3 linked regions of the Macaca mulatta genome follow. The main gene of each other region encodes a partner of the protein of the gene in region 2 in a complex. Links are inferred from orthologs where the notes say so. Each region holds a gene or a part of one and is shown on either strand. Other genes may lie near its edges. The genes, in order: NR5A2, NR0B2 and NR5A1.

The links.
Region 1: the proteins of NR0B2 (region 2) and NR5A2 are in contact, whole or in part, in a crystal structure (PDB 1YUC), measured with the Homo sapiens proteins. The link is inferred for Macaca mulatta from reciprocal best matches to the Homo sapiens genes NR0B2 and NR5A2. Residues at the interface, in NP_068804.1 of Homo sapiens: Arg17, Pro18, Ala19, Ile20, Leu21, Tyr22, Leu24, Leu25, Ser26, Ser27, Ser28; in NP_995582.1 of Homo sapiens: Phe354, Val357, Arg361, Phe366, Val371, Asp372, Gln374, Met375, Leu378, Gln379, Asn529, Asn530, Leu531, Glu534, Met535.
Region 3: the proteins of NR0B2 (region 2) and NR5A1 are in contact, whole or in part, in a crystal structure (PDB 1YMT), measured with the Mus musculus proteins. The link is inferred for Macaca mulatta from reciprocal best matches to the Homo sapiens genes NR0B2 and NR5A1. Residues at the interface, in NP_035980.1 of Mus musculus: Thr19, Ile20, Leu21, Tyr22, Leu24, Leu25, Ser26; in NP_001303616.1 of Mus musculus: Ile275, Val278, Arg282, Phe287, Val292, Gln295, Met296, Leu299, Gln300, Asn450, Leu452, Glu455, Met456.

Annotation. Positions count from the first base shown.
Region 1 is NC_133406.1:57,678,153-57,689,019, reverse strand, and holds the start of NR5A2 (nuclear receptor subfamily 5 group A member 2), read right to left. Parts: upstream 6,069-10,867; 5' UTR 5,849-6,068; coding exon 5,785-5,848; intron 1-5,784. UniProt on the Homo sapiens protein: Orphan nuclear receptor that binds DNA as a monomer to the 5'-TCAAGGCCA-3' sequence and controls expression of target genes: regulates key biological processes, such as early embryonic development, cholesterol and bile acid synthesis pathways, as well as liver and pancreas morphogenesis.
Region 2 is NC_133406.1:214,065,202-214,075,880, reverse strand, and holds NR0B2 (nuclear receptor subfamily 0 group B member 2), read right to left. Parts: upstream 6,714-10,679; 5' UTR 6,653-6,713; coding exon 6,121-6,652; intron 4,799-6,120; coding exon 4,557-4,798; 3' UTR 4,201-4,556; downstream 1-4,200. UniProt on the Homo sapiens protein: Transcriptional regulator that acts as a negative regulator of receptor-dependent signaling pathways. Specifically inhibits transactivation of the nuclear receptor with which it interacts.
Region 3 is NC_133420.1:23,289,155-23,299,359, forward strand, and holds part of NR5A1 (steroidogenic factor 1), read left to right. Parts: intron 1-4,025; coding exon 4,026-4,145; intron 4,146-5,963; coding exon 5,964-6,111; intron 6,112-10,205. UniProt on the Homo sapiens protein: Transcriptional activator. Essential for sexual differentiation and formation of the primary steroidogenic tissues. Binds to the Ad4 site found in the promoter region of steroidogenic P450 genes such as CYP11A, CYP11B and CYP21B.

The sequences.
Region 1 (10,867 bases), about 160 Mb from region 2:
GAGATGGCGTACAGTGTGTGCCAAGGCTTGAGAGAGATTCACTTGTTTTCTCCGGAGTTTCTTGTCTGGAAACTGGGAAGTTGATTCCAGGACCAAGCAGTGGATTCCGACCAATTTTCTTTCCATTCCTGTAGAGGCCGCTGGAGCAGGTGAAGCTTGCAGGGGGCCAGGAAGCAGAGGCTGCAGGCATCCAAACCCTGAGCAAGGAATCCAGCACTTACCGTGAAAAATGCTACCATGGGTGTGGGACTAGCCTATCTCGCTGCAGGAGGCACAGCTAGGTTTGTCAAAAGTGCTTTTTTTTAAAAAAAATTGACACCTAAATTGTCTTTCCCTATCCCCTTCTTTCATGGGACAACAGTATGTTTGTTTATGCTATCTAATTCAGTCACTCAATTTGAGTGATTTCCCTGCCCTCCTCATATCCACTGACTCTATAACAAGTACATGCTCTGAATTTCCTCTCAGGTCCTTCTCACCGTCTGTTGGCAGCCCTGCGAGTTGCTACCATACACCACAAATTCACAAGCTAAACTTCATCCAAACTCCAGAGATCCTTTCCAGGAAACTCCAGAGTAGGGGACCAGAAGTGCCTTCATCCCACCCCACTCAAATCTCAGTCCTCCCAGATGCGATTTCCACTCTGCTCTCCATACACTACTCCCTATGCCACCCTTCTGAATTCTAGAAGGATCCAAATCTGATTTCTACTGTAGAATGGAAAGGAAGATTAAAAAGCCACTTATAAATGTGTTTCTTAAGCTCGAAATGTCTCTTGGAGGAAAGTTTACATAGACCAACATTGTATTAAATCATAATTCCTTTATATCAACAAGAACAAGTAGTTACTACCTTGGAGAAAGAGTATGTATTTCAGAATATTTCTTGGGCTCTGTTTACAGTTCATTCTCTTGACAAGCTGAGTAAATTACTTGACCTCTGATTCCATTCTTTAAATCAGTAAAATTGGGTTAACAAAGTAAGCTTTATAGTTAAATGAGATAGTGCCAGGAAAGAAATATACTATGCTGGAGATACACACACACACACACACACACACACACACATCTCAGTTCCCCTTTGTCCTGCTTTCCCCTTAGCTTCACTCAAACTCATCATTCTGTAAGAAAACTAAAAAGGGAATCACTAACCATTCTAGGACCACCTTCCAGTGGGATGTGCTTGTTAACTTGATTGTCTTGCAGGACTTGACAAAGTCCTTGGAGACAATTACATTTATCACCAGATAAAACTGCTCATGTAAGTGCTCATGGTCATCTGCATTCAGGTTATTTGGTGTTTAAAAGTTAAACTCCAAATATCTTTTCTTACTTAGCAACCACACAAAAACATACATAACAGCTTCCCAAAAGACTAAAGAAGAGGCAACCTTTATCAACTGGCCTGGTCAGTTTTAGTTCACATGGTTTTCTCAAGCTTGACCTCTCCAGATCATATCGGTCATATTTCAACTCTTCCCCAGGGCCTCCCCAGAGCACAATGCCCTCCAAACTCCTGAAGTTCCTTGAAGCTAACTGGATTTATCTGAGAAGTGTCTTCCAATAAGGTGAAGCGTGAAGAAGTGCAACTCAAAGAACTAGCTTTATCCTAAGGTAGACTCTAGACCTGTAGAGTGAAGTTGTCTTGCCTGCCTAGTGCATCCCTGGGGGTGGGGATTGGGTTGGCCTGTAGGTGGAAGTCTGACAACATGCCCTTCTCTAGCTCAGCTCATGTTCAAGGCTGAATCCAAGATAATCCTAGACATTGTGTCTGGTGGAGGGGTCAAGTAAAGGAGAGAAGCATTAACAAGCCTCTGTTCTCCGTTCCTCTATAAATCTCTCTTGGTTTATTAGAAGAGGTGTTAAAGATGCCGGGTGCAGTGGCTCACGCCTGTAATCCCAGCACTTTGAGAGGCCGAGGCGGGTGGATCACTTGAGGTCAGGAGTTCGAGACCGGCCTGGATAACATGGTGAAACCCCATTTCTTCTAAAAATACAAAAAATTAGCCAGGCGTGGTGGCATGCACCTGTAATCCCAGCTGCTCGGGAGGCTGAAGCAGGAGAATTGCTTGAATCCCAGGAGGCTGAGGTTGCAGTGAGCCAAGATCATGCCATTGCACTCCAGCTTGGGCAACAAGAGTGAAACTATGCCTCAAAAAAAAAAAAAAAAAAAAAAAAAAAAATTCCCTTTTTTTTTTTGAGATAGGGTCTCACTTTGTTACCCAGGCTGGAGTTCAAGGCATAATCACAGCATCCTCGACCTCCCTGGCTCAAGTGATCTTCCAACCTCCACACCCAAGCCCTAGTCACTGGGACTACAGACACATGCCACCACAACCACACACAGCTAATTTTTTTTTTTTTTGTAGAGACTGGTTCTATGTTGCCTAGGCTGGTCTCGATCTCCTGGGCTCAAGTGATACTCCAGCCTCAGTCTCCCAAAGTGTTGGGATTACCAGTTTGAGACACTGTGCCTGGCCTAAGAACTCTTTTAACTCTGGTCACAACCTGTGGATCCAGGCCAGAAAAGAGGAATCTGAGAAGCGCTGTTTTGGAGATGGGCGGGGGCATGGAAAGAAGGGAGGCTCCGGAGTTTAGCTTCCCAGAAGAAACTGGCAGCCTAAGCCTGAGCTGCGAGAATCAGAACATGGGCTTGGGTGGTTAGCATTCTAAATAAAGCTGGCTGGAGGTTAGGGTGACATAACGGCTATCACACTTTCCACTGATGACGTCTACTTTCAGAGATCCTTATGAGCGCAGAGCTTGGTGGAGGTTATCACTGAAATAAAATCAGACTCAGAGTGTTCAGGGGACCAGATAGCAAGCCTCATATTACAGACTCAATACAGTGTTTGCACTGTGTATCATGTACCCCTAAGTATGCAGACATAACCTTCTGTGGATAATATGCAATATTATAATGAATGCATAAAATATTCTGCAAATGCAGTTAATTTGAAGAATTATGGAAATTTAATATGAATCAAAGCACAATATTGGGCACATTGTGGGAGTTGTCAATAAATACTTGTTTCATGTATAACATATTTCCTACCACACAGATAAGGCTCTTTTCTTAATATAGGTAAATATAAAAAGCCTCTAAAGTTAGTACTGCATATTATTCAATAGAATCATCCTATCTGGGAGAAAGAAGAAAACAGAGACGAGAAACCAAGAGTTTGACCAGCGTCCCAGAGTTAGTTAACTTTAAGGGAGCAATCTAGTTATAACCTGAGCGTGCTGCTCTTACACTACATTGAATGATTATCTTGCAGGTAGGCAGAAGGAACAACTTTATCTCAATTCTGCTTTTCTATACAAGCACAGACATCTACACAAAACTTTCATGTAACCATCAGTGTGCATACAAGATGTAGTCCCTAGTTAAAAACCATGGAGTCGCTTTTTAAATAAAACGAGGCCCATTTCCTAGTACAACACAACTGAATTAAATGTAGAATTGTAAACCCTGACTGATGTCTACATACACCGGGCTCAGTTTTGTGAACGACTCAACACAACCCAACTTGCAATTTGCCATCTGAAAGCTACTCTCGAGACCCTCAGTCACTCTCTACAGCTGCACCCGTGGGTTCTTCCCAGTGGGGCTGCCCTGGGCAAATCAGAAAGACCCATTCAAAGAGCATCTCTCCTTCAGGAATCGGGTCAGGCCCTTCAATGCAACAGTTCAGTCTGATGGCTCCTCACCGCCCTCTCTTCCTCTGCCTCAGCCCTTTGGATGGCTCTGTCCAGCCATTCACCCTGGGAACGACGGTCAGCACCCTCCTGGAGGCTACGAGGTTAAACAGACGATCTCTCGGTGCCAAAGTCGCCTCGGGGTCACTAAGATGTTGCAGATGCGGACACCTCACAACCACCTGCGGGGCTGCAATACCAGGAGGCGGAGGGGGTGTGCTTGAGTTGGGAAGGGGCGGGTGGCTGCGAATAAGATCCTGAAAGAGGTCTCTTTTACCGGAAACTGGAATTTTGTTATCCCGGAATCCGGCGCCCGGAAGTGCCTGCACAGGTTTAGGATGTTGGGGTAGGCTCGCTGAGGCCAGGGGAGAGCCTTCTTCGGTACTTTTCTTGAGGCTTAGTCCCCAGCAGCCTCTCATGGGCTGGACCGACAGTCCTCCGGTTCCCAGCCCTCTGCGGTGGGACGGATTCCAAAGCTGCAGGTGTTCTCTGTTTACGCTCAGCGTGTACCCGCCTCGGTTCCTTGCTATGTGAGTTGCGGGTGCGGTCGGTGGAAATACAGTTCTTCCCGGGTTGCAGAGAGAAGTGCAACAGCGTCTCCTTCCCCTACCTTACCCTCTTTAATTCACCCTTGGGGTCTGGGGGAGACAGCGGGGGATCGGCGTGTGTGGTCTCCCGACCCAGCTCAACTCTATTTTGGCAGCGACCAGCTGGGGCTGCGCGCGGCAAGAGCCCAAGACCGCCCGCGCGGGCGCGAGCCCCCGAGCGCGCGTCCCCCGTGCGCGCTCAGTCCGCGTCTCCCGCCCGAGCGCGCTCTAGCTGCGGCCCTCGCCACGGAGCGGGAGCTGCGCGGAGCTGCCGGGAAGGACTCCTCGCCTGCACACCGCGGCGGTTCAGACCGACGAAAAAGATGCGAAATCGTTTTGTGCTTCTCTCTCATCTTTCTTGTGCCTGTATTTTCTGTGTTATCTGCAGAACAATTGATTGTGTGTTACACCCTGCTTGCCTTCCCCGTGTTTTCTTTTTCGTAAGTATAGAACATTTTTGGTAAACATTTCCTCAAGTGATATACTTTAGGGTGTAGTTGGCCCATAAAAAAAAGCAATCACTGCATTCTGTGGAGTCAGCTGACTCGGAAGGAAAAAAGAGGAAAAACTCAAGCCTGGGTTTTTCTTTCTTGTTACAATGGAGCTGAGACTCAGAGCTCATGACAGGCCCCTGCAAATTCGGAGGGAAGTTCCAGTCCGAAAGCCTAGGAAAATGCTACCAGAAAAGACACAGGTCCTTCAAAAACCGGGGGAAAGGCAGAAGGGCATGACTTCCAACAGACAATTACAGACCACTGAGAATCACTTCCCTTTAGTCCTTTACTTTTAGGATTAATTGAATGTAGTCTTGCTATAAAATTCACAAGTTTGTAACTCTATTTTTTAAATGAAAAGTAGCTTTATTTACTTATTTCTGTTTGTAAAAACAAAATATACTAATTGTTGCAAAAAAAAAAAAAAAAAACAGTAGCTCTTAACTTCAAATCCTTTATTAGTGATGGTCTAGTTTTTTGGGTTTTATTTTTTGGCGGGGGGGCATGGCTTTCATTCCCCAGGAAGATAAAATGAAAAGTTTTTACAGTATAAGCAGAGAATGAGACACCATACTTTTGTGTGGGTTGAAAAGTAACAAATACTTGACAGCTATCTGTTAAAGTTTGATCAGTGATCAGTCAATATGATTAACTTGTTTCAAATTGTTCAAATTTTAGCTTATTATTTCTGATTAAAATTATCAGCAAATATTAAAGTTGAAATTGTTAAATTATAAATTATATTTTCTCGCTGTTTAGGCTAATAGAATGCCACCAGTAAACACTAGATATAATGAATAATATTCATATGTTGAAATATTCATTTGCTTTTTTTGAACTGCAAGAAAGATAAATGTGTGATACACATACATGGGCTTATTATGTGCTTTTAATAAACATAATAGGAAAAGCCATGACTTAAAATGCAAAATCCATCAATGAGATTAAATTATATGTATGTACTAGCAGAATAAATAGATGATCAATAGAGCAACTCCTACTTACCAATAGGTGTAAGTCCGTGCTTTAAAGACTCTTGTAAATCCCCAGTATCCGAATTAGAAGACATTCTTAGTGAAATTATAGGCAGTTCTTTGGCCTAAAGCAGAAATCATTGAGCAAAAGAAAAGTGCAGCTTGTCAAATTTCGTGGCCTTGGGAAGGACACATCAGACTACGGTAACCCTTAGTGAAAGTTAAGAAAAAGCAAAGGGAAAAAAAAATCCAGAATTCATAAAGTTACAAGCAAGTCTTTCCCTGGACTCTGTACTTTTTCCAACATTAGTGACCTGCTGTAAACCATGTATCCAGTTTCATGATGATTTCTAATCAGAAGAGTGGAAACTTTTGATAGGCTTTGACTCATCACATGACTCTATGCAGGTTGATAAGAGGACCCTGTTATAAAGTGACAGCAAAAGAGATAAGAATTCTTGCCAGATAATGGCAAAGAAATGATTAACTCAGAAGTGGAGAGGTGCTGTGCAGCACAGAGTGGAAAGTTGTAAAACTGAGGGGTCAGAAGATCAGACTTAGTGGATAAAACTACAAACCAGCTAACTAACTTAGTCTAACTAAACTTTGGCTTGTGACATACCCCTTGATGTCGTCACCTCTTTGCATAGAGGAGGACGGACATAGCTCTTCTGACCTCTGTAAATATATTTTAGATGAAAACATTGGCAGACATTAATTCTTTAAGTGATGACTACAAATGTGATCGACACTCTGAAACACTAGAGGTAGCATTTCCAAGCTTATGGTCATTTATTTATTCATGTTGTGGTCAACCAACTTTTTTATCGGGCCTATTCATTAGATGAGGAGTTAACCTTAGCTTGTTTCTACATTGGTCATATGGCTAAAACACAATCTATCTCTTTATCCCCAAAAAGTAAAACTTATGCTTTGAGATTAATGCTGGCAAACTGATGAATATGTAATAGATTTTTCATAATTATAAAGTTATTATTCTTAGGCCGGGCATGGTCACTCACACCTGTAATCCCAGCACTTTGGGAAGCCAAGGCAGGCAGATCACCTGAGGTCAGGAGTTCAAGACCAGCCTGGCCAACATGGTGAAACCCCATCTCTACTAAAAATGCAAAAATTAGCCAGGCGTGGTGGTGCAGCCCTGTAATCCCAGCTACTTGGGAGGCTGAGGCGGGAGAATTGCTTGAACCTGGGAGGCAGAGGTTGCGGCGATCTGAGATCGTGCCACTGCACTCCAACCTGGGTGACAGAGTGAGACTCCATCTTCAAAAACAATAACAACAACAAAAAAACAAAAAATGATTTTTGTTTTTGAGACAGGGTCTCACTCTGTCGCCCAGGCTGGTGTGCAGTGGCATGAACTCAGCTCACTGCAGCCTCCGCCTCCCGGGTTCAAGCAATTCTCCTGCCTCAGCCTCCCAAGTAGCTGGGATAACAGGGGCGAACCACCATGCCCGGCTAATTTTTGCATTTTTAGTAGGGACGGGTTTTCACCAGGTTGGCCAGTCTGGTCTCAAACTTCTGACCTCAGATGATCTACCCGGCCTCCCAAAGTGCTGGAATTACAGGCATGAGCCACTGCACCCAAATTGGCCAAAATCCCTAATTTTAATATTGACACTCCTTTTAAACTAAGTAAATGCAGGTTGTGTGTATGTGTACAGATAATTTTTAACTCAATATATAAACATTTGTTGTAACAAAACTTCATATATCATTTGATGGATTTAGTAGTCTTTGTCTAAAGATTCACTTTACAGAATTTATGGTCTATTTATTTATTTAGAGATGGGATCTCACTCTGTAGCCCAGGCTGGAATGGAGTCGTATAGTCATAGCTCACCCAACCTCAGACTCCTGGACTTAAGCAATCCTCCTGCCTTAGCCTCCTGAGTTAGGACTACAGATGTGTATCACTACACTTGGCTGATTTTTAAAATTTTTTGTAGAGACAGTGTATTGCTGTATTGCCCAGATTGGTCTCCTGGGCTCAAGCAATCCTCCTGCCTCAGCCTCCCAAAGTGCTGGGATTACAGGTGTGAGCTACCTGTAAACCCAGGACAGTCATTTTTTTTCCTTTTTCTTTTCTTTTTTTTTTTGAGACAGAGTCTCACTCCATTGCCCAGGCTGGAGTACAGTGGCACAATCTTGGTTCACTGCAACCTCTGCCTACCAGGTTCAAGCGATCCTCCTGCCTCAGTCTCGCTAGTAGCTGGGATTACAGGTACATGCCACCATGCCCGGCTAATTTTTGTATTTTTAGTAGAGACGGAGTTTCGCCACATTGGCCAGGCTGGTCTCGAACTCCTGACCTCAGGTGATTCACCTGCCTCAGCCTCCCAAACTGCTGGGATTACAGGTGTAAGCCACCACATCTGGCCCTTTTTTTTTTCTTTTGTTTTTTATTCAGATTATTGTTAGTTATTTCCCCTCTTGCTTCACTTCATGTCAGTTGAAATATAGCATCTGAAAGTGCTCTCCACTACCTTTCAGCTGTGCTGCTGGCTCTGAACCTTGCCCAAGATCAACTTGCCTTTATCAGGTTTGGGTGGCTTGGGGTCTGGGTGACCCCTGAAGTCAGAATCAGAAGTGGCCACAGCCATGACTTGTGGTCCTCTGAGTATAAGAAATGTCCCCAGTTGTATATCCTCACAGTCTCATGAAAGTAAGATTTGGTTGAGTAGACCTGCTCATGGAAGGTGGGTAGTTTCCAAGTGGCACTGGTACACACCAAGTGAAATAACTGGTAATCCTGGCTGTCAGCGGAGCCAGGTCAACTTGCTGATATGCATGCTGTTTTTCCTTTGAACTTTAAGTTCTTATGTACACATAAACAATCCATCCTACTTTTCATTAACACCATGTTAGGTATTATTTTCTTAGATCGATATTTTTCTTTTAAAGAAAAAAAAGTTATACGGTGGATTTTAAAATATTGTTATTGAAAACAATGATTTCTTCTTTGATTTTAGATGGAAACCCAGAAAGGACCTTCCTCCCTCCCTCCCTCCCTCCCTCCCTCCCTCCCTTCCTTCCTTCCTTCCTTCCTTGTTTCCTTGTTTCGCTTTTCTTTCTTTCTTTCTTGACAGAGTCTCACTCTGTCACCCAGACTGGAGTGCAGTGACACGATCTCGGTTCACGGCAACCTCCACCTCCCGGGTTCAAGTGATCCTCCTGCCTCAGTCCCCCTAGTAGCTGGGATTACAGGTACATGCCACCATGCCCAGCTGATTTTTGTATTTTTAGTAAAGATGAGGTTTCACCATGTTGGCCAGGATGGTCTCAAACTCCTGACCTCAGGTGATCCACCCGCCCCGGCCTCCCAAAGTGCTGGGATTACAGATGTGAGCCACTGCACCCAGCTAATTTTTGTATTTTTTTGTAGGGACAGTGTATCACCATGTTACCCAGGTTGGTCTCAAACTCCTGGGCTCAAGCGATTCTCCTGCCTCTGCCTTCCAAGTATATGGAACATATATTTCTATGGATATATTTTGCATCTGTAACTGCTTTGAAATACGTAGGTCTTCTTTTACACATGCCAAAGTGTTGGATACATATTTCTTGAGGCCTTTCATATCATTCAGTCCATAAAATTACATTGTCCATCAGATCCTCTCAATGCACTGGTTATAGCTCTAACTGTTTTCCTGAGGAAACCACTCAGTTTTGGTTGCTGAATGCAGCCTATATAAGCACAAATCATGAGATCATGGTAAGAATGAAGGCAGGGTAGCAGGGTGGTTAAGAGCCTAGGATTTGAGGTCAGAAAGCTCAGGGCTTCCATTTGTGCTTTGCCCCCTTCTCGGTGGCAAAGTAATGCTTGGCTTTTTTTTAAGCCTTGAATTCCTCATAAGTAAAAATGACAAAAATGATGAAATCCAGTAGTTTTTGTGGTAAGATGTAAATGAGAAATAAAGTACTCAGTGTCATGTCAGAGAAAGAAAGCACTCAACGTGTCATCAAAAGTGAATATGGAGGCTGGGCGCAGTGGCTTACACCTGTAATCCCAGCACTTTGGGAGGTTGAGGCAGGTGGATCACTTGACGTCAGGAGTTCAAGACCAGCCTGGCCAACATGGTGAAACCCTGTCTCTACTAAAAATACAAAAAATTAACTGGGCAAAGTGGTGCACGCCTGTAATCCCAGCTACTCAGGAGGTTGGGGCAAGAGAATTGCTTGAACCCAGGAGACGGAGGTTGCAATGAGCCAAGTTCATGCCACTGCACTCCAGTCTGGGCGACAGAGTGATACTCCATCTCAAAAAACAAAAAACAAAAAACAAAAAAAAGTGATTATGGGCTATGTGACTTGGGATCTTAAGTGAAAGACACATCTTCCTTAGTGGAATTTTAGAAGACATACTAAAGTTTCTGTTTTTGGGTTTTGTTTCTGACACCAATTCTATCTTAGTCACGTACACTATTAGAGACCTTATAGAAGACCTCATAGGATTCATATAATTAAACAGCACCATAAAGTGATTTGTGGCTGGGCACGGTGGCTTAACACCTGAAATCCCAGCATTTTGAAAGGCTGAAGCAAGAGGTTCACTTGAAGGCACGGGTTTGAGACCAGCCTGGGCAATATAATGACACTTCATCTCTTAAATAATAAATGAAATAATGATAAATAATAAGGAATAAGGAATAAATAAGTATTTATTAATAATAATAAATACAGGCCAGGCACGGTGGCTCACACCTGTAATCCCAGCACTTTGGGAGGCCGAGACGGGAGGATCACAAGGTCAGGAGATCAAGACCATCTTGGCTAACATGGTGAAACCCTGTCTCTACTAAAAATACAAAAAAATTAGCCAGGCGTGGTGGTGGGCGCCTGTAGTCCCAGCTACTCGGGAGGCTGAGGCAGGAGAATGGCATGAACCTGGGAGGCAGAGCTTGCAGTGAGCTGAGATTGCACCACTGCACTCCAGCCTGGGCAATAGAGTGAGACTCTGTCTCAAAAAATAAAATAAAATAAATAATAATAATAATAATAATGAATACAAATAGTAAAGTGATTTACTTTTCTTCTTGTCCTTTCTGTATATGGTTAACAAAGCATGTAACAGCACAAAGATTGAATTTCATGCT
Region 2 (10,679 bases):
TTACTGCTTAATAGGCAGTCAACGATTTGGCTAATGAAGATAGAGATAATGATGGCAATAAAATGGTTCTCTAGGCTGACCCAGAGCCATAGCCACTCTCCTGCTTTCCAGTGAGTCATCCCTGGCTGGGCCTGAGGACAGGAATCATGGCTGAGAGGTAGATGGTCAGTCAACAGTGGCTGAACTGGCTCCAGACCGCCTGATCCTGGCCATGACTCACTCCAGCTTGTGCTGCTGACAAGAACCCTCCAGAATTACACAGGTTTGAGTACAAGTCTCGGCACAGGCCAGGTGCGGTGGCTCACGCCTGTAATCCCAGCACTTTGGGAGGCTGAGGTGGGTGGATCACTGAGGTCAGGAGTTTGAGACCAGCCTAGCCAACATGATGAAACCCTGTCTCTACTGAAAATACAAAAATTAGCCAGGCTTGGTGGTGGGCGCCTTAATCCCAGCTACTCGGGAGGCTGAGGCAGGAGAACCGCTTGAACCCGGGAGGTGGAGGTTGCAGTGAGCGGAGATCGCACCACTGCACTCCAGCCTGGGCAACAAGAGCGAAACTCCGTCTGAAAAAAAAAAAGAGTCTCAGCACAGACAGTGATCAGCCCAGACCTTAAGTTACATACCCATCTGAGCCTGTTTCCTCCTCTTCCCTCATTAGCAATGAGATACAGATCCCAACCCAGGATGCTGATCATGGAGACATTCTTCCCCACTTTTGGAAAGCCTACAGTCTCATGGAGAAAGCACAATTCCCCTTACTACATTGTACCATAATTATCTCTTTAGTTTTGCCGTATTTGTCTTTATGTTCTTTGCTCAAGGCAAGGAAGTAGGGCACGGGGAATGACTCAAGAAATGCAGACAAGAAACAGAAGTGTAGCTCCCAAACCATGTGGACTGGTAGGGAAGAAATTTGAAAAGGATCAAGGTAGAGATTTTTCTTGTTGTTTTTTTTATTTGTTTTGAGACAGGGTCTTGCTCTGTTGCCCAGGCTGCAGTGCAGTGATGCTACCATGCTCACTGCAGCCTCCAACTCCCAGCTCAAGTAATCCTCCCACTTCAGCCTCTCGAGTGGCCAGGACTACAGGCATGAGCCACCATACCTAGCTTATTTTATTTTATTTATATTTTTGAGACAGAGTCTTACTCTGTCACCCAGCCTGGAGTGCAGTGGTGCAATCTCGACTCACTGCAACCTCTGCTGCTCCAGTTCAAGCGGTTTCCCTGCCGCAGACTCTGGAGTAGCTGGGATTACAGACATCTGCCACCACACCTGGCTAATTTTTGTAGTTTTAGTAGAGACGGGGTTTCACCATCTTGGCCAGGCTGGTCTTGAACCCCTGACCTTGTGATCCCCCCGGCCTTATTTTTTAATTTTTTTGAGATAGAGTCTCACTCTGTCGCCCAGGCTGGAGTGCAGTGGTGCGATCTCGGCTCACTGCAACCTCTGCCTCCCAGGTTCAACTGATTCTCCTGTCTCAGCCTCCCAAGTAGCTGGAATTACAGGCGAGTGTTGCCATGCCTAGCTAATTTTTGTATTTTTAGTAGAGACAGGGTTTCACCATTGTTGGCCAGACTGGTCTTGAGCTCCCAACCTCAGGTGATCCGCTTGTCTTGGCCTCCAAAAGTGCTGGGATTATAGGTGTGAGCCACCGTGCCTGGCCCCTAGCTAATTTTATAATTTTTTGTAGAGACAGGAATCTCACTACATTGCCCAGGCTGATCTTGAACTCCTGGGCTCAAGCGATCCTATCACCTCAGCCTCCCAAAGTGCTGGGATTACAGGCATGAGCCACCAGTAGTGCCTGGCAAGGTAGACTTAATAAGGGAAGCTATTTGGATGACGGAAAAAATTAAATAAGTTGAGGAAAAAAGCCTAGGGTGGGGCATGGCAGGGAATGCTTCCTAATGGTTGTTCAGGGCTAGAGAAGGGGAAGGGTAAGAGGTGGGAAGATCCAGCTTTTTTCAGAGGTGGGAGGATTCAGAGAGGTGTGGCAGTTAATTAATAGAGGCAGAAACTGGCAGGGCATAAAAGATGTAGAATGACCCTAAATCGGGCCAGGCACGGTGGCTCACGCCTGTAATCCCAGCACTTTGGGAGGCCGAGGCGGGCGGATCACAAGGTCAGGAGATCGAGACCACGGTGAAACCCCGTCTCTACTAAAAATTACAAAAAATTAGCCGGGCGCGGTTGTGGGCGCCTGTAGTCCCAGCTACTCGGGAGGCTGAGGCAGGAGAATGGCGTGAACCCGGGAGGCGGAGCTTGCAGTGAGCCGAGATCGCGCCACTGCACTCCAGCCTGGGCGACAGAGCGAGACTCCGTCTCCAAAAAAAAAAAAAAAAAAAAAAAGAATGACCCTAAATCCCTGAATCTTCTGGATTTGGGTCCTATGTGGGAAACAGGGCTTCTGCTCTTGAAAGAGCGGTTTCATGCGTCTACAAGGTTACACAGGGTGATGTGTGCCAGAGGGATGGGGAGGGCAGGTAGAGAGAGGCCCGGGAGCCTGAGGTCTGAGTTTGGGGCATCTGGTGGGAGATGGGGGGATGCAGGACTTGTTCTGGGCCCTGAAGGATGCCTTTATTGGGGATTTGATTTGGTCCCAGCTGGGGACAGTTGTTGAGCTGAGAGGAGGATGGACATTGAAGTCACCACGGGGAAAGAGGATGAATGGTTAGTTGGGGTCCCAAATGCCAGGCAGAGCAGTTGGCCTGGGCTCACAGGCTCTGAGAGGACCCTGAAGATGTGCAGACACAGGTCTGCCTACTTAGGGGGCCACTTTTCCCTTTCCTGTGACATGGGGAAGATGAACACACTCTGGATGGGGGTGTCTCCACACTGTGTGCCCTACCCTCAGGTGCAAGGGTGCGTACTTGTGCTGTGTGACTGTGTCAGGGTCTGCAGTACGTTGCTGAGTGACTGTATCTGGGCAGTGCTTTTCTGGGCTGTAAGTGGGTGGTTGGAGAGTCTGTGTTCTGGGTCTGTGTAGGCGTGCCTGAGTTGTACATCTTAGTGTGTGTGTGTATTGGGGGGGTCCAAGTTGTGTTGTTTGTATTTGTGTGAGATCTCAGCTGTGTTTTTGTCTCTATCTGGTGTCTGACTTGTGAGTGAGAGGCTGGGCAAGGGACAGGGTTCCCCTTGCTGCTGGCACTGGGTCACCATAATGGGTACGAGGCCAATCAGCTGTCGTCCTAACCTGGGGGGCTTAGAGAAAGGCCTGAATGATGACACCTAGACTCTTATCCCCAAGTGAATGGCCTCTTATTGAGCAATCATTAACTGGGCACCTGTGAGAAGAATCCAAACTGTTATGGTGAAGGGGGTGGGGACTGGTCAGGGCAGGACTTACCGCTGGCGAAAGGGGGAGGCCAGAAAATCCTATAGGCATGTGTGTTGTTATCACTCCTTCCTGCCCACCCTTCAGGTCACTCACCCTTACCCATGGCGACTGGGTCAAAATATTTAACAAACAGTGAGGCACAGACATTGACCAATCAGAATAGACACAAGTCATATTCTGAATGGAGCAGTCAGGGAGGTCATGGCTATGCCAAGAGTTGCCTCTTTAGTTGTTAGACAGTGGGAATGTCTGGGAGGAGAATCCCAGGAGAGGGGCTGGGGCAGAGGGGCAGGGAAGGAAAGTTGGGAGGCCTCAGGGTGGTGGCTATGATCCAAGTGTCCTGGAAGGGTTTCAGACTTAAACAACTGATGTAGTCAAATCCTGGTGGTCCAGCTAAACCTTGCTCTGCCTTGGCGTTCAAGTAGTTGCCAGGCCAGCCCTGGGTGCCCTTGTCCCTTCCCTTTGGGAAAATAATGGACCACCGTCTTTTGTCATCTGCAGGAATGGGGGAAGTGAATGATCTTAAACTGCAGAAATGGCAGTGACCTTGTCTGTTTCAATTCGGGAATGGACTGCTTCCTGATTGGCTGTGATTGGGCTTTAACTGTGGTGAGAGGGCGCATGAAGTGGGTAGGAGCCAGGAGAGTGGTTAGTGAAGGGTTTGGGAACAGGAGAGCAACCTCCTTCCCCTGAGGATAAAGGCAATGAGGTGATGGGATTGTGAACTGATACTGTTCCCTGGAAAATTAGTTCCAGCAACCCTGTGGATTTTTTCCCTTGGGCTACCTCTGATAGGAGCAGGGTGGGCCCTGGAGGTGAGACAGTCCCTTCTATATGCACAAACAACAGTATCAGGCTCCAAGTGTTTCATACCTTTTATTACAAAAATCAATAACTTAATTCAGTTCTGTATAAAGTCAGTAGGACTTCTGGTCCAATGAGCAGCTTAAGCTTTCATTCCCATCCCAACAAGGGACAGGAGTCTTGGCCCAGAGGCTGTGGGGACCACCAAGAGCCTTCCAGGCAGCTGGAGCACTGTGTCCAAACCAAGGAAGTCCAATGTGGGGTGTGGCTGAGTGAAGGGCTGTTCCTAAGGAGCCAAGTGCTGTCTATACAGCCTTGCCCCCTCCGGGAGCATTGGGTCACCTCTGGGGATGGCCAGGCTGAATCAGCACTGCCAGCCTCTGCCCACCTGATCTCTGCCTGGGCTGCAGCTGGTCACCTCAGCAAGAGCATGTCCCCAAGAAGGCCAGCGATGTCAACATCTCCAATGATAGGGCGAAAAAAGAGGTCCCCAAGCAGGCTGGTCGGAATGGACTTGAGGGTGGAGGCTGTGAGGAGGACACGGGCCAGGCGGCCTTGGGCTGCTGGGCACCAGGGCTCCAGGACTTCACACAGCGCCCAGTGAGCCTCCTGCTGCAGGTGCCCAATGTGGGAGGCGGCTTGGAGGCCTGGCACATCTGTGGGCAGAGAGGGAGAAGAGGGTTGGTGAGCATCCTACTCCCAGCCACCAAAGGAAGAGACTGGCCCAAGATCTGGGCCATCAGAGACACCCCTCTGCCTCCTTTGCTCGGCCTTTGAGGTCCCACTACTACCTCCTCCTTTGGAGGAGGTAATTTATTTATCAATTTCCATTGTATTCATCCATCCATTTATGAAGAGGCAGTATGGAGTAATGGTTAAGAATCAGGTTTCCTGAGTATGAATCCCAGTACTGTCACTTAGCTGGGTGACCTTGGGCAAGTAACTTAATCTCTGGGCTTCAGTTTCTTTATTTGTAAAACGAGGATAATAATATTAATAGGACCTGTCTCCTAGGTTTTTATGAGATTTAAATGAACTAGTATATGTAAAACCCTTAGAATAGGGCCTAACATATGGTAAGTGTGATATGAGTATTTGCTACTATTATTGCAATTAACTACTACGATTTATGCGTGCCACAGGGACTCCTGGGGAACGCTCATCTCAGATGCTCTCCAGATTACAAAGAGCACTGTCTCATCTGCCACTCTCCTGGCCAAATTCCACAAAGACTCCCTTCCTGTCCTCCCTACACCCCTTTCAGTTCTCTCTTCTAAGTGATCTTTCTGAACCCACAGAGGAGTTTCAGCTCTAGAGCTTCACCATGCAGCCTTCCTTTGAAGATGTGACTGAGACACAGCTGTGTCTGCCCACCCCACCTCCCCCGCAGCCTTCTCTAAAGGTCAGAGCAAATTTCTCAGGCAGAGTGGCAAGGGCCAGTCTCTGGAGTGAATAGACCTGAGTTGCCATCCTGGTCTGTCCCTACCTGGCTGTGTTACCTTTAGCTCGTCACTTAGCTTCTCTGTACCTCTTCTGTGAGATGGCTATTTGATGAAAATGAGGAACCGGCCAAGCACAGTGGCTCACGCCTGTAATCCAGCACTTTGGGAGGCCAAGGTGGGTGGATCACCAGAGGGATCAGGAGTTCAAGACCAGCTTGACCAACATGGCGAAACCCCGTCTCTACTAAAAAATACAAAAATTAGCCGGGAGTGGTGGCGGGCACCTGTAATCCCAGCTACTTGGGAGGCTGAGGCAGGGAAAATTGCTTGAACCCAGGAGGCAGAGGTTGCAGTGAGCCAAGATCGCGCCATTGCGCTCCAGAGTAGGTGACAGAGTGAGACTCTGTCTCAGAAAAAAAAAAAAAAAGAAAATGTGGACCCCATGAGATTACAGATATCAAACCCTTAGAAGTTACCTTCCCTGGCTGGCTCCTGCTTCAGCCTTGCCCCCTACCCAGGAGTGTCTGGGAGCTCACCAGGGTTGAAGAGGATGGTCCCTTTCAGGCAGGCATATTCCTTGGGGCTCAGCTCCAGGCCCCAGAAGGACTCCAGACAGCACTGAAGCCACTGCACTGCAGCCAGGGAGGGCTGGGGTCTGTCTGGCGGCTGGCCACTGCCTCCACTGCTGCTGGGCTCCTCCAGTAGAATCTTCTTGAGTATGCTGGGCACCGGGGCCTCAGCCACTTCAAAGGTCACAGCATCTTGGGCCAACCCAAGCAGGAAGAGGGGGCCCCAGCAACCCTGCAGCAGCCGCCGCTGGTCCTGGGGAGGCAGCTGCCAGAAGGATGGCAGGTTCCTGAGGAAGGCCACTGTCTTGGCCAGAACATCCAAGGCCTCCCGGCAGGTGCGATGAGGTGCACATAGCTGGACGGGCCGGTGCTGCCTACATAGGCAGCGGCTACGGGGTCGGGGGACAGCCCTGAGGCTGGAGCTCAGAAGTGCGTAGAGAATGGCTGGGCGGCTTGCAGCTCCCTGGCATGGGCAGGCCCCTGGTTGGCTGGTGCTCATGGTTGGGATCTGCCCTTACTTCCAGCTCTCTGGCCCTCTGTTCTGCGCCGTGGGTGCTATTTATATTCCCAGTGAGTGGAAGGGGGGGAATGGCCCGACAACCTTGACTCCAGAAGTCATGTTCATTGAAAAAAACACACAGACACTGCCCCTGGCAGGAATGGTGGGGAAGTGGTGGGGGAGGGGGCATTGGGAACCCCACGTGGCACTGATATCACTTCAGTCAATGAAGTGGCCGGTGCAGGGCACAGGGCCACCTGCCGCTCACTCAGCTGCCCCTTATCGGATGACTCAAGTGGATAAACAAGGTCATTAACCCAGGTTGTACCAGGGCACCAAGGCCCCAGGTGCACAATCAGCAGGTGTCCCCATTGGTGCCTGCTCTTGTGTGCACAAAAGACTAGCGCTTTCGCTAAGCCAGGAAGTCAGCCCCAGAGCTGGGTGGGCCTTGAATGCAAGGCCCGACCTGGAAGTGCCTTATCACTAGCTTGTTTGCCTAACCTTGGGGCCCTGCTTCTGTTGTCGGCCAGGAGCAGGCTACAGGGAAGGGAGCCAGGACCCTGGGGGGGCTGGGAGGACTTTGCCCGCTGTCCAGTCTCGGAGGCCCCCTTCCTCTGGTTTCAGTTCTGGGCCCCCTGCAGGAATAAGGTCCTTCAGAATCCCTATCCCCTGCCTGATTCCTTTTTTTTTTTTTTTTTTTTTTTGAGACGGAGTCTGCTCTGTCGCCCAGGCTGGAGTGCAGTGGCCGGATCTCAGCTCACTGCAAGCTCCACCTCCCGGGTTTACGCCATTCTCCTGCCTCAGCCTCCCGAGTAGCTGGGACTACAGGCGCCCGCCACCTCGCCCGGCTAGTTTTTGTACTTTTTTTTAGTAGAGACGGGGTTTCACCGTGTTAGCCAGGATGGTCTCGATCTCCTGACCTCGTGATCCGCCCGTCTCGGCCTCCCAAAGTGCTGGGATTACAGGCTTGAGCCACCGCGCCCGGCCTTTCCCTGCCTGATTCCTACCACTCCTGAAAGTCCAGTTCTGCTGAGAAGAACTCACAGAGTTATAATAAAAGATAGTTGCCAGCTGGGCATGGTGGCTCATGCCTGTAATCCCAGCACTTTGGGAGGCCGAGGAAGGGGGATCATTTGAGGTCAGGAGTTCAAGACCAGCCTGGCCAACATGGCAAAATCCTGTCTCTACTAAAAATACAAAAATTAGCCGGGCATGGTGGCATGTGCCTGTAGTCCCAGCTACCCTAGAGGCTGAGGCAAAAGAATCACTTGAAACTGGGAGGCAGAGGTTGCAGTGAGCTGAGATCATGCCACTGTACTCCAGCCTGGGCAACAGAGCAAGACCCTGTCTCAAAAAAAAATGTGTGTGTGTGTGTGTGTGTGTGTGTGTGTATATATATATATATGGTTGCCATTCTCTGAGCACCTGTTATGTGTCAGGCACTTCCCACTCTAATATTGGCAGCCTCCTTCTAAGGCTAGATTCTTACTTTGTGAGACTAAAAAAGTTAAAGTGACTTGCCCAAGGTCATCCCACCAGGAAGACCAAGCCCAGATCTTGCCTGACTCCAAAGTCCTTGTTTGTTCCCCTGGACCCATTGGCCCAATTGCACAGCCAGAGCCTGAGATTCTCTGAGCTTGTGGCTAGCTGCCCCCACCTTGCTGCTGCCTGCTTTGCAGCCTGCTCTGCCTACTTGTGATCTAGGCAGAAATGTTGCTCTGCTGCCATGTGGCTCCTCTGTCCCGGGCATCTTTCTCAGATGGTAGAGCACCGGGGATGAGAGAAGGTGGAGAGGCCCTTGGTTGTGTCATGTTTCTGGACCTTGGCCAGTCCAGCGTGGCAAACCTTCTGCTGCATGCTGTTGGGCAGCCTGGTGCCCTGGATGGGGAGAGAGAGGCTCTGGCATCACCAGCTCTGGCATCTGCTCCAGAATCCATCACTTTTCAGTTGTGTGACTTGGGTTGATCCTTGAACCTCGATGAGCCTCAGGAGCCTCACTGGGACAATAATGCTTGCCTCTAGGGCTGCCATGGGGACAAAATGAGGTCCTGGTTGTTAAATTCCAAGTAGTTTCTGCCATATGGTAGAAGGATTTTTCTGCCCCTTTCCTCTATGGAGCTGAGCACCAGTGGACAAACAGGCATACCTCTTTCATTTGATTATTAGTCTTAATCCTTAAATTTATAAAGTTCCTTTCATGTCTTTAAATCTCACTGAATCTTCACAGTGTCCCCTTGAAGCAGACTCGAGTCAGACTGGCTGGGTCCAAATCCTGCTTCTTCACTTAGCTGAGTGACCTTGGGCAAATCACTTTCTCTTTTTGTGCCTCAGTTTCCTCATTTTTTAAATGATGACAAGAATATCTAGAGGTGGATATTGGTTTTATGGGGCCTGACGGTTACAATTTGGAGGATCCTCTTTAAGAAAAGAATACACGGCCGGGCGCGGTGGCTCACGCCTGTAATCCCAGCACTTTGGGAAGTTGAGGTGGGAGGATCGCTTGAGGCTTCAGGAGTTCAAGATCAGCCTGGCCAACACAGTGAGACCTCATCTCTACCAAAAAAAATTAGCCAGTGTGGTGGAGCATATCTGTAGCCCTAACTACTTGAGAGGCTGAGGCAAGAAGATGGTTTGAGCCCAGGACTTCAAGGCTACAGTGAGTTATGACTGTGCGACTGCCCTCCTGCCTTGCTCTAGACAGAGCAAGACTCTGTCTAAAAAACAAAAACAAAACAAAACAACCTCCCCACACACACAAAACCTCCCCCCAAACCCTGAATATTTATATTTATTTGGTCAATGGGAACCCTTTTAAGCTGGGGTCCATGTCATTTTGGCCTGCTTCCATAATTCCTGGAACATTTGCTTTCTTGTATAACAAGATATCAACTTTTCCAGCCGCTGGAATCAACCAGTACTCCAAAGAGCTCTGATTCAATCTTTTAGTGGAAAATAATATTTAGAAAGCATGAAGTAGGCACTAGAATCATACTAAAAAACCAAGAACTGGTCAGACGCGGTGGCTCACACCTGTAATCCGAATACTTTGGGGGCTGTAGTGGGTGAACTGCTTGAACCCAGGAGTTCAAGGCCAGCTTGGGAAACATGGTGAAACCCCATCTCTGTAAAAAATACAAAAATTAGCCAGGCAGGTAGTGCACACCTATAATTCCGGCTACTCGAGAGGCTAAAGTGGGAGGATCACTTGAATCCAGGAGGGCAAGGCTGCAGTGAGCTGTGATCATGCAACTCCACTCTAGCCTGGGCAACAGAATGAGACCCTGACTAAAAATAGATAAATAAATAAAAATCGGGCCAGGCATGGTGGCTCATGCCTGTAATCCCCAACACGTTGGGAGATCAAGGCAGGCAGATCAACTGAGGTCAGGAGTTCGAGACCAGCCAGGCCAACATGGTGAAATTCTGTCTCTTCTAAAAATACAAAAATTAGTCAGGTGTGGTGGCATGCAATGGTAGTCCCAGCTACTAGAGAGGCTGAAGCGGGAGGATAGCTTGAACCCGGGAGGCAGAGGTTGCAGTGAGCCGAGATCGTGCCACTGCACTCCAGACTGGGCAACAGAATGAGATCCTGTCTCAAAATAATAATAATAATAATAATAGTAATAATAATAATAATAGGGCTGGATGTAATCCCAGCACTTTGGGAGGCCAAGGCGGATGGATCCCCTGAAGTCAGGAGTTCGACACCAGCCTGGCCAACATGGCAAAACTCCATCTGTACTAAAAATACAAAAGTCAGCCTGGCATGGCGGCACATGCCTGTAGTCCCAGCTTTTCAGGAGGCTGAGGCAGGAGAATCCCTTGAACCCAGGAGGCAGAGGTTTCACTGAGCCAAGATTGTGCCACTGCAGTCTAGCCTGGGTGAGACACAGTGAGACTCTGTCTAAAAATACTACTAATAAATAAAAATAAATAAATAAAATAAACCGTCTGGGCATGGTGGCTCAAGCCTGTAATCCCAGCACTTTGGGAAGCTGAGGCGGCCGGATCACTTGAGGCCAGGAAT
Region 3 (10,205 bases), on a different chromosome or scaffold from region 2:
ACTAGAATCAGAGAGGCCTATTGTCAACTTCCAGCTCTGTCGCTTACATGCTGTATGATTTTGGGCAAGTGACTTCACTCCTCTGGGCCTCAGTTTCCTCATCTTGAAAATGGGAGGAGTTGAAATAATGTCCACCCATTGGGCTGTTGTAAGGGGTTAGTGAGCCAGGACAGGGGAAGGACTGAGCGCGGGCAGTTTACGAAGTGAGGTCGCAGCGTCCTTCCTCTCTTCCCCTTAGCCACACTGTTTAATGCAGGCCTGGGCGGGGAAGCAGCAGGGAGAGACACATTGGACCCAAGCTCCTCTGAGCGCACGATTGTTCCGGGACCGTCTTGGGGCCACTTTGTCCTGCGCTTATAAAGCAACTTTTTCCCTGCAAGGTGGCAGAAACTCACCTGTACCTGCTGCTTGGTGGGCAGCAGTGTCCAGGGCCCAGGCAGTCAGCCTGTATGATCACTTACCGCAAAGGACAGGCTGGGAGGATGCAAGGCAGGACCCGGGGGGGCGGTGGGGGCCAGGAGTGCCCAGTGACCCATCTTGACATCTGTTCACCCTCAACATCCAGCTCCGAGGCCCCCACTGACAGCAGATTTAACTGCCCAGATAGACGGTTTCATTTAAGCGGCAGTAACTGTCAGTCTTGGGCTGACAAATGACACCTCACTGACCACTCGGCCGGCAGAGCACGGCGGCCAGCCCACGGTGTGTCAGCCACCAGAGAATTACACAGCCTGCCGGCCTTCACAGCCAGACCGATCGGACCCCAGGGGGCTCCAGAGGGGCCCTGCTGGGAGGGAGGTCAGCTTGGCACCCATAAATACGTGGTCTTCGAGGCAGCCTGCAGAGCGCCAAGGCTCCAGGAAGATTTGTGGCAGTCTGGCAGGAGGGATGGATGGCTGATGGGCCCAGCAGACAGGCCATGCTGGTGGAGACCCCAGGGCTGGGGCTGCAAATGTCCTTGTTCCCAGGGTGGCAAGGAGGCCTGAGGGTAGAGGAGCCTTTAGCGTAGGGAGGGACCTTCGGAAAGTGAAAACCAACCCTCTCTGGTTAAAGGAACCTCTTAGCCACCTGCTTTCTCATGCAGAGGGTCTGGCAGCTATGGCCCTGTGGTTTTCTTTTAAATAAAAAGAGGGGTGTGTGTATGTGTGTGCATGCGTGCGTGCGCGTTCTTATCTGTGTGGGGAGTGTTTTGGAGTTTGGTGTCTTTGTGCATCCATCTGTCCACCCAAGGAAAGCAGTGAGTCAAGACCTGCTTGGCCAAGGGGCAGGTGGGATCCCAGCCAGGGAGCATCCACGGAAGAACCAACAGCAGGTCCACCAGTTCCCACACAGCCCAACGTGTGTTCTTACGTTTTAACCAAAAAAAAGAGAAATTATATTTCCTTCTTCCCAGAACAGGAAATTAGGGTGGAGGATGCATGGTGGACAATGCATGGCTGGATGGGGACTCGAACACAGGGCATGGGGCACCAAAGCCTCAGGGACAATATTGTGGCTCTCTGCCCCTGGCACCCCTATCAGCCCCACCGGGCAGGCCTGCCCCATCCAGGGTCTAAGGTCTGGGTACAGAGTCTGCTCCCAGGGCTGGGCCAGCCGGGTCACCGTGACCCATCTGCTTTTGGCCTGAAGCGTGGCTTATCTCCTCATTCTACCCCTTATCGCTCCTCCGCCACCTCCCCACCCCCTTGTGCCTTCATTCTGGGCGCAAGGGTGTCTGCTCCTGTGGGCCTGCGAGGGGTGGGGTGCCAAGCCTGGCCCTGTGCGACCACCTGGGTACCCAAGGTGGGCCTGAGTTTTTCCTGCTGCCAGTGTGACACCTGGGCAGGCCCCTCCTATCCGGGTCTCAGGAGGTTCCCAGGGTCCCCAGAAGTCCTGGCCGGTAGGAACCTCTGGGCAGAGCCCAGCTGCCTGAAGCCTGAGTGTCACCTCCGGCAAGGCTGTGTTTCCTTATCTGTAATGTGGGCAGAATGTCAGCAGGGCAGGGGTGAGGTGTCCTGTACCGCACTGGGCACCGTGTCTGGTAATAGGTGCTCTCTGAGCCTTGGCTCCCTCCTGGAAACCGCAGCTCCATGGGGGCCGGCACTTCCGTGGAGAGATCCGGAGAGATGGCTGAGTCAGCCCCTGCCCAGGCCTCAGTCTCTCCTGGACCCAGCCAGGACTGAGCCTGGGGGCCCATGGTAGGGGCTCTGGAAAGAAACTTTTGCTGGGAGCCGGAGGGAGCTCTGGACCCAGAGGTGAGATGGGGATGGAGGGAACGGACATAGACCTCCCTCTTCTCCACCACGTGGGCCCGCAGGCCGGTCTGTGTGCCAATTCCTGACTTTTCCCTCTCCTTTTCTCCCCCTCTGTCTGCCTGAGGACACAGGCCCCAGGGAGGCCCCAGGAGAGAAGGGGAACAGAGAGGAGGGGGGAGGCTTCTATCTCCTGTTCATTAGGCTTGGGCCAGCTCCCCTCTGACTGGGAGCCACCCCTAGGTGGGGAGTGGCCCCTCTGAGCCCCTGGCCCCAGGTGGGGAGTGATCCCTCTGCACTCTGTGCTTGTCTTGGGGAGAACCTTGCCATTCATCAGCCACTCTAACCTCTGCTCTGGGGCCCAGAGAAGAGCCGGACACCAGTTCTGCCTCCCCAGATCTCACAGGTATTGGCGAAGGCAGAGGCATTTAACTGATGCCATGAGATGTTGCAGATTCTGCATCCAGAGAGTGGGGAGGGCCTCGAGGAAGGAGAGGGATGAGGTAGGGATTTGTAGAGGAGGCAAAGAGCCTGCGAGAGACCAGGAACTCCTGGATGGCAAGGCGGGTGAGTGACAGGTCCTCTTCCACAGCTAGTGGTTAAGAGCGCAGATCTGGAACCAGACAGAGCTGTGTGGCCTCTCTGTTCAGTTTCTTCTCTCTGTCATGCGGGTGGTGACTGGACAAACCTCGCAGGGCTGTAGGGCTGCGGTGGAATGACTGTTCGCTGTCATGGTTTGCATTCGTCAGAGGGCACGGCCCAGGAAGGTGCGCCGGAAGTGTCTGTTGGGTCGCTGGTGGCCAGCTGAGGAGTGGCACAGGCTAAGAGGGATGGGGCTATGTCTGCCCAGGCCCATGTGCAGTGCTCAGTGTGCTTCCGAATACCCAGAAGGGCTCGTTTTGTCACAGTGGAGATTGTGGACCAGGAATGCCAGCCGTGGCCCTGGCCTGGTCCTGCCTCTGTGTGATCCTGGGAGAGTCTCTTGTCCTCTTCGGGTGGCATATTCTTCAGTTGAAAAATAGGGATTGGGGCCAGGGGATCCCTGGCTCTGCTTCTGAGTCCTGCAGAGTCAAAGGACACTCCAAACAGGGGCTGGCCCTGCCCCTGCACCGAGTGCCTCTGGCTGCAGCCTGGGCATTCGGAATTGCCCCTTGTCGCTGTTCGTTTCTGCTTCAGGTGCCAGGCCATTGCCGCCCCCCTGCTCATGCCCTGGGCCTGACCGCAGGCCAGGTGGGACCTCCCTCCTTCTCCTGAGCCTGAGAGCTCTGCGTAGGCCTGGGGGGAAGCGCTTGGTTTCTTCCTCATGGCTTCTGTCTGAGCAGTTGGGGCTGCCAGAGGTGTAACTGACCACAGGTTTTTAAATGCGGACAATGTTAAAATTAATAATAATCTTGCCATGCATTTGTAGGAGTCCTTTGCAGAGTACCTCCATGGACATTAGTCACATGTATGGCGTACCTAACATGTACCGGACTGTCCGCTCAGTACTTTGCCCACTGTACAGATGAGAAAACTGAGGCACAGAAGATTACCAGGACTTATGTAAAGTCATACCGAAGACAGAGCTGGGGCCTGAAGCCTGGCCCATTCAAGCCCCAAACACCCCTTTGTTAACTGGCCAGACCCCTGTTGCACTTTGATAGCACAGACATTCGGGTAGATGGGCACAGAGAGGTTAACTCGCCCCGGCCGCACGCCCAGTTGGGTCTCAGTGGGAGGAGAAGGGGTTAGAAGAAGGTGGCTGGACCTGGACCCTGGCTGGAGCCCGGCCCCCCGCGTGCCTCTTCCTTCCAGGTTGCCGACCAGATGACACTGCTGCAGAACTGCTGGAGCGAGCTGCTGGTGTTCGACCACATCTACCGCCAGGTCCAGCACGGCAAGGAGGGCAGCATCCTGCTGGTCACCGGGCAGGAGGTGACCAGCCCCTGGGACCCCGCCCCGCCCCTGGGCCCCGCCCCGGCCCCGCTGTGCACTTCCAGGATTCAGGGCCTCGGAGAGGAGGACCCAGGCCTCTTGGGGCTCACTCTGGGCACCCTGATTATCAGCCCTTTCCCCACATTCATGGGGCACCCACTGGTCTGACCCCTCTGCGAGCAGCCCTGGTCCAGGCTTGAGAGGCGCCGGCTGCTGGGAGCCCTGCTCTTGGGGAGCAGCTCAGGGGGTGTGGGCATGGTCAGAAGAGGTTCATGGAGGAGGATGTGATGGTGGCCCTGGGTCTGGAAATAATCCACTGGAGTTGGCTGGGGTGAGGGGGGCAGTCCTCACCTCCACCACAGGCTCAGAGAGGGTGGAAGCGTGGAGCCCCCAGGCCCTGCTGGTGCTGGTATGGGGTGGCATGAGGTGACAGACCAGGGAGGCTGGAGGGTTGCTAGGGCTGAGTTAGCGGACAAAACCTTGCAGGCCCTAAATCTTGAATGAATGAATGAATGAATGAATGAATGAATGAATGAATAGGCAAAGGGCTCCTGAGAGCTCAGAGAATTTGGGCCCCTTAGAGCAGGAAATGAGGATCTGGGAAGTAGAAAGTCCAGATGCAGCAGGGGTCCAGGGAGAGCTTTAGGAGGAGGAGGGACATGGCCAGGTAGCATCTGAGGAGGCAGGCAGAGGGGTCAGATGGGAGGTGGGGGCCAGGGCGGGGACACAGGGACACAGCCAGGGAAGAGGACTCACCTGGGGAGACGGGCTGTAGGGAAAGAGAGGGAGGGAGAGAGGCAGAGAAGGGGGTTGATGGCAAGGGTCCAGCCTGCTGGCAGGAGCGTCACTCCCAGGTGGGGACACAGGAGGGACCGTGGGGTCGGTGGGTGCTGTGGGGTGGGGGAGACAGACTCTGCTCACTGCTCCAGCGCCCCTAGGCCTCTGCTCCTCACCTCCAGCTCTCGCCTTGGTGTCACAGGCCATCAGGGGCAGGAGGACAGGACGGGCAGCACTGGACCCAAGAGGGTATATCTGGGGCTCCCTGTGGGCGCAGGTGCCTGCAGTCTGCATGCGGTGTGAGTGTCGGCAGGCCGGCTGAGTCTCTGTGGCCATGGGAATGGCCTGTGTGTGTGTGCCTGCCTGTGTTTTATTGTGCAAAATCTCCACACACATCAGTGTGTGGGTGTCACTGTCTTCCCATCAACCCGTAATTGTGAACACATACATAGGCGTGTGTGTTGCTGTAAGTGTGAGCATACAAGGGCGGGTGTGGCCGTGTGCACATGTGTGTGCCTTCACTTCATGGAGTGGGCGACCCCATGACTGAGCTCGTGTGTGTGTGTGTGTGTGTGCACGCGCGCGTGAGACCCTGGGCTGAACTGTGACCCAGCATCTAGGTGTGAACGTAGGGGTTCTGGGCAGCCACGTGGATGGCGTCTGTGTGTCCCTGCGCAGGCCTGCCCTCCCCTGACCCCTTCCCTCCCAGCGTGTAGAGGGCCCCTCTGAACTGCTGGTGCTACTGGGCCTGGTGCTGGGGTTTGTGTGTGAAGGAGGGGTGGACGCGGGCAGGACGTGGGTACCCTCAGCTCTGGGCCTGGCGGGTTGAGGACAGCTTGGAAGGGTGGGCCCGGCAGGGTCCCCGGGGCTGCACAGGTGTCACCTGTGCCTGGCTCAGTGCCAAGGCTGGGCCCTCCTGACCCCAGCCCATCTGACCTGCACCTCCAATCCATGCCCTCAGCCCTCTATCCACCATCAGAGAGCCCCCTGCCTGGACCCACGTCCTCTGACTGTCCCCCACCCCGTGCCCTCTGTCCCCAGGTGGAGCTGACCACGGTGGCCACCCAGGCGGGCTCGCTGCTGCACAGCCTGGTGTTGCGGGCACAGGAACTAGTGCTGCAGCTGCTCGCGCTGCAGCTTGACCGGCAGGAGTTTGTCTGCCTCAAGTTCATCATCCTCTTCAGCCTGGGTGAGTGCGGCTCCAGTGACAGAGAGGCGGAGACAGCCAGGGGCAGGCGGGTGGGAGGGTGGGTGAGGCTGGAAAGGTAGCCCTGCTAGGGCCAGAGTGGCCACAAAGGAGCCTCAGGGGAGAAAGGCCCCTCCCTTACTCATTCAGTGAACAAAGGTCTGAGGGCCCCCGGCCAGGGCCTGGCTCTTAAATGGGGACGGCTCCCCATCTGGTGGCCCATGTGACTTTGGGATTGGTATTCCAGGCTCCTGGGGTCCCTGTTTTCTCTAATTCCTGGATCTAGGGGGCCCCAGTTCTGACTGTAGCTCCTGGGGGCCCGGACCCCTTTGCCCATGCACGCATGCATCCATTCATTCACTCTACAAACAGGCACCGAGCAATTGCACCGGAGAAGGCACTGGGAATACCGCTGTGAGCAAAACCCCCAAAGCCCAGCCGTCGTGATGCTGACCTTTCTAGGGGGGATCATGAGCATAATACGATTAGGAAGACGTAGGTTCCTAACACGATTAGGCAGGCATAGGGGGACAGCTGTGACCAGTGCTAAGGAGGAAAAGAAAGTGGAGGAGAGGCAGAGAGCAGTCCTGGCCCAGTGCAGCCCGGCCACCCACCCCACTCCCCAAGCACCTGGGGGGGTCTCCCTCCCTTTGCCCTCCTGACCCCAACCCTGCCTGGGCACTCCAGTCTGCACCCTCACTCCCTGGCAAGCCGTCACCAATGCCCTCCCCATACCCGGCGATGCTGAGGACATAGCTGTCCCTTGCCAATCGAGAAGAGACCTGCAGCCTGGGTGGTTAGGCCTGAGACAGAGAGATGGGTGTGGCTTGGGGAACCCTGGGTGGGGAGCAAGAGCTCTTTCTGGAAGGCTTCCTGGAAGACGGACATCTGAGCAGGGTTTTGGAGGATGAATAGGAGTTTTCTGGGGGATGAATTATTTTGCAGTGATGCAGATGCGATGGAATAGAGATGAGTGAGTGCTTCATCACCTGGAGAGGGGGCAGGATTAAGATATTGTCTTGGTGGCTGGCATTATAGTCACAGTCTGGGAAGGGCGTGCCTGCCAGAGAGAGGGAGGAGTGGGGAGTGTTGCGGAGGCAGAGGGGATTAATGAAAAGTGGGAAGCCCAGTGCTCGGGCGGGATTGGTGACATCCTCCATGCTATGCGGCTGGGTGCGGTGGGCTGGGTCTCCCAACTCTGGCAGAACAGGCTGGTAACTGGAGGGCTTATCTGCAAGGCCACCTTAAGCCACCTCTCAGGACACCAGCCAGGGCTCTGCAGGAGCTATGGCCTGAAATCCTTGCAGGAGCCTCAGGGGCCCAGACCCGGTTGGCTGCAGCTGGGGAAGTTCCCTCCTACCTCTGCCGGCAGCAGCACCTTACCCGCAGCCTGCCAGACTCAGCAGGCTGGCACAGGATAGAGTCACAGACATGCGTGGCGGGGGTCTGTGTGGTTGGGGCATGGAACCTGCAGGAATTACGCGAACGTCTGTCTCTGTTTCCGCGCATGTGTGTGTGCTGGCATGTGCAAACGACGAACTTTCACACGCTTGTGGTTTCTTAAGTGTTAGGCTGTGTGAAGAGTTTGTGTGTGATTGGGGAGGGACCAGGAGATCTGGGAACATGAGGGATTTGTGGCGGAGAGTGGTGCTTGGAGGCACCTAGAATTGGAGTGTGTGTCCGCAGGAGTCTGGGTGGTTTGTACGGTGAGAGTTCTTGACCTGGCTGCCATCACAAGGCCACTGGGAGGGCCCTAAGGAGGGGTGGGTGGAGGGTGGGCTCTGTCTGTCCTTGGGTGTCCCCTGAAAAGCAGGGACAGTGTCTTGGCCCCCAGCCCCTCTTCCCACCAAAGCCTTGGGCATAGCTCTGGCCGCCGCTGGGGGTGAATCCAGGACTCCTCCTTCTCTGGGGCTTAAGGAAGATGGCAGAGCTGATCCCTCCTCTCTTGGGTCCAAGTGTGGGCATGCTCAAAACTGGAAGTGCCCCGCCCTAATGTCGTGCTGGTCATCAGCTTTTTTTTTTTTCCAGATGCAGCAGCTGAGGCCTGAGAGGTGGGAGAGGCTCCAGTGCTGGGCTGGGACAGGCTGAGTTGCGGGGAGAAGTGTGTGTGTGTGCGCATGCGTGCTGTGTGTGTGAGAATCAAGGTGGCGCAGTGCTTAGGAAAGGGAACTAGGTAGGGATGAGGAGTGGATTCTAAATCTGGCCTCTGGTCTCTTTCTGGCTGTGTGCCCTTGGGCAAGTCACTCCCCTCTCTGAGCCTCTATTTCCCCATCTGTAGAGTGACCCTCCTACTAATCCCTAACTTGTTACAAGGATTGAGTAAGAGAATTCCCCAAAGTGCCCAGCGCTTGGCTGAGCCCTGGGAAGTATGTGCCAGAATTGTTTTAATCATAATCACCATTATTAAGTTAGTGTGCATATGCATAAGTGAATGAATGAAGTGAATGAATGTTCACAGTCTCTATCGTTATCACCGGCTGTGTGTCTGGCACAGTGCGTTATCTTTCCGCACAGGAACATGAGTCTGGCTGATGTGGGTGGGTGAGCCCTGAGCCCAGCAAGCCAGGAACCTGGTGAGGTTGGGGGTACCAGAGAAGGAACGGGAGGAGATTCCAGGACCCCAGCTGATGGCAAGCAGTGAGAAAGGGGTGTGGGGGGCCGCAGCGGCCTTTGGCTGGCCAGCTCCAGGTTGGAAGAGGAACCCCATCAGTTCAGTGTGATCAGGGTTGGGTCAGAGAGGAGAAACCAGCACCACCTGGCTATCAGGGAAGGCTTCTGGGGGGTGGGGGCTCTGAGCTGGGCTTAGCAGTATGAGTAAGAGCATTCTGGGTGAAAAAAAAAAAACAAGCGGCATTAATGGCTTTCCAGACTCAAGGAACAGCTTGTGCAAAGTTCCGGGAATCCTGAAAGTTCTGTGTGGCTGTAGGGGTGGGGACGGGGTGGGGAGGAGGCTGGCGAGGGGACAGGAGCTGAGCTGGGCAAAGCCTTGAATGCCAGGGCCTGGTACCTTGAACTTTCTCTTGGGAAGGACTTGAAGCAGCCAGCAACATGATGAAATTTGCATTTTATCAAGATCCTTCTAAGTGCAGCATGGGAAAAGGATGGCAGGCAGGCAGCCCAGAGCCCTGGCAGAGGCTAGACCTGGAGCTGGGCTGGAGCAGATTCCAGGGTCTGGAGCAGAGGGCTCCTCTCCTGATCCCACCCAGACCACCAGAGCTGGGGCTCCAGGGAAACTGGGACCCGGAGAGGGACCGCCGCTTGCCAGCAGACCTCCAGCTGGCGCGCAGGGCGTCCCCTTCCTTCGGTGGCGGCTCCGCCCTGGGCCGGACAGCCTGGCTGTGAGTGCTGGTGTCCCTCCACCCGCCCCACCGCCCCACCGCCCCACCGCCCCACCGCCCCACCGCCCCACCGCCCCACCGCCCCACCGCCCCACCGCCCTGCGGCTCACTCAGCGCCTCCTTCGCGCCTGCCTCTGCATAAGGGTGCCATTTGGTGTCTAAATAGCCGTCTCGGGAGGGCGCGGAGGCAGGTAAGGAGGTTTAATTAAAATTAGTGCCTCTCTCCTGGCAATCACGGTATTTATGAAGATGGGCCCGGCTGGCATTGTTCTGCCGAGGACTTAATCGAAGCTTAATGGATTGACCTAACATTCGATTTCCTGACTTCCATTGAGGCGGCGGCAGCAGCATTCCCTTAAGCGTTTGCAATTTACCCACTGCTCCGCGCCAACAAAAGGCGGCCTGAATAGCAGCCCCACTCGAGGGGCCATTGTGCGCGGGGGCGCCTGCCTGAGTTACCGCTATTGGGACAACATTCTTTATGCCTCGCTGGAATGAAAGGATTATTCAAATATTCAATTAAACCATGAAAAGGGGGCTTTTCTGAGAACCTGGGGGCCCCCAGCTCTGCAGAGCTAGCGGGCTGCTCTCCGAGGTGGGGGCGCCATCTCCCAGCTCCCTCCCACCTCCGCCTCCGCGAGTGCTGGGAGCTGAGCGGGCTTGGGGAGCGCAGGCTCCTCTCCAACATGCCCGTCTCCAACCTTCGGGTGCCTGGGGCCCAGAGCTGGGCATGCAGATGAGAGCCAGCCCCTGGCCACC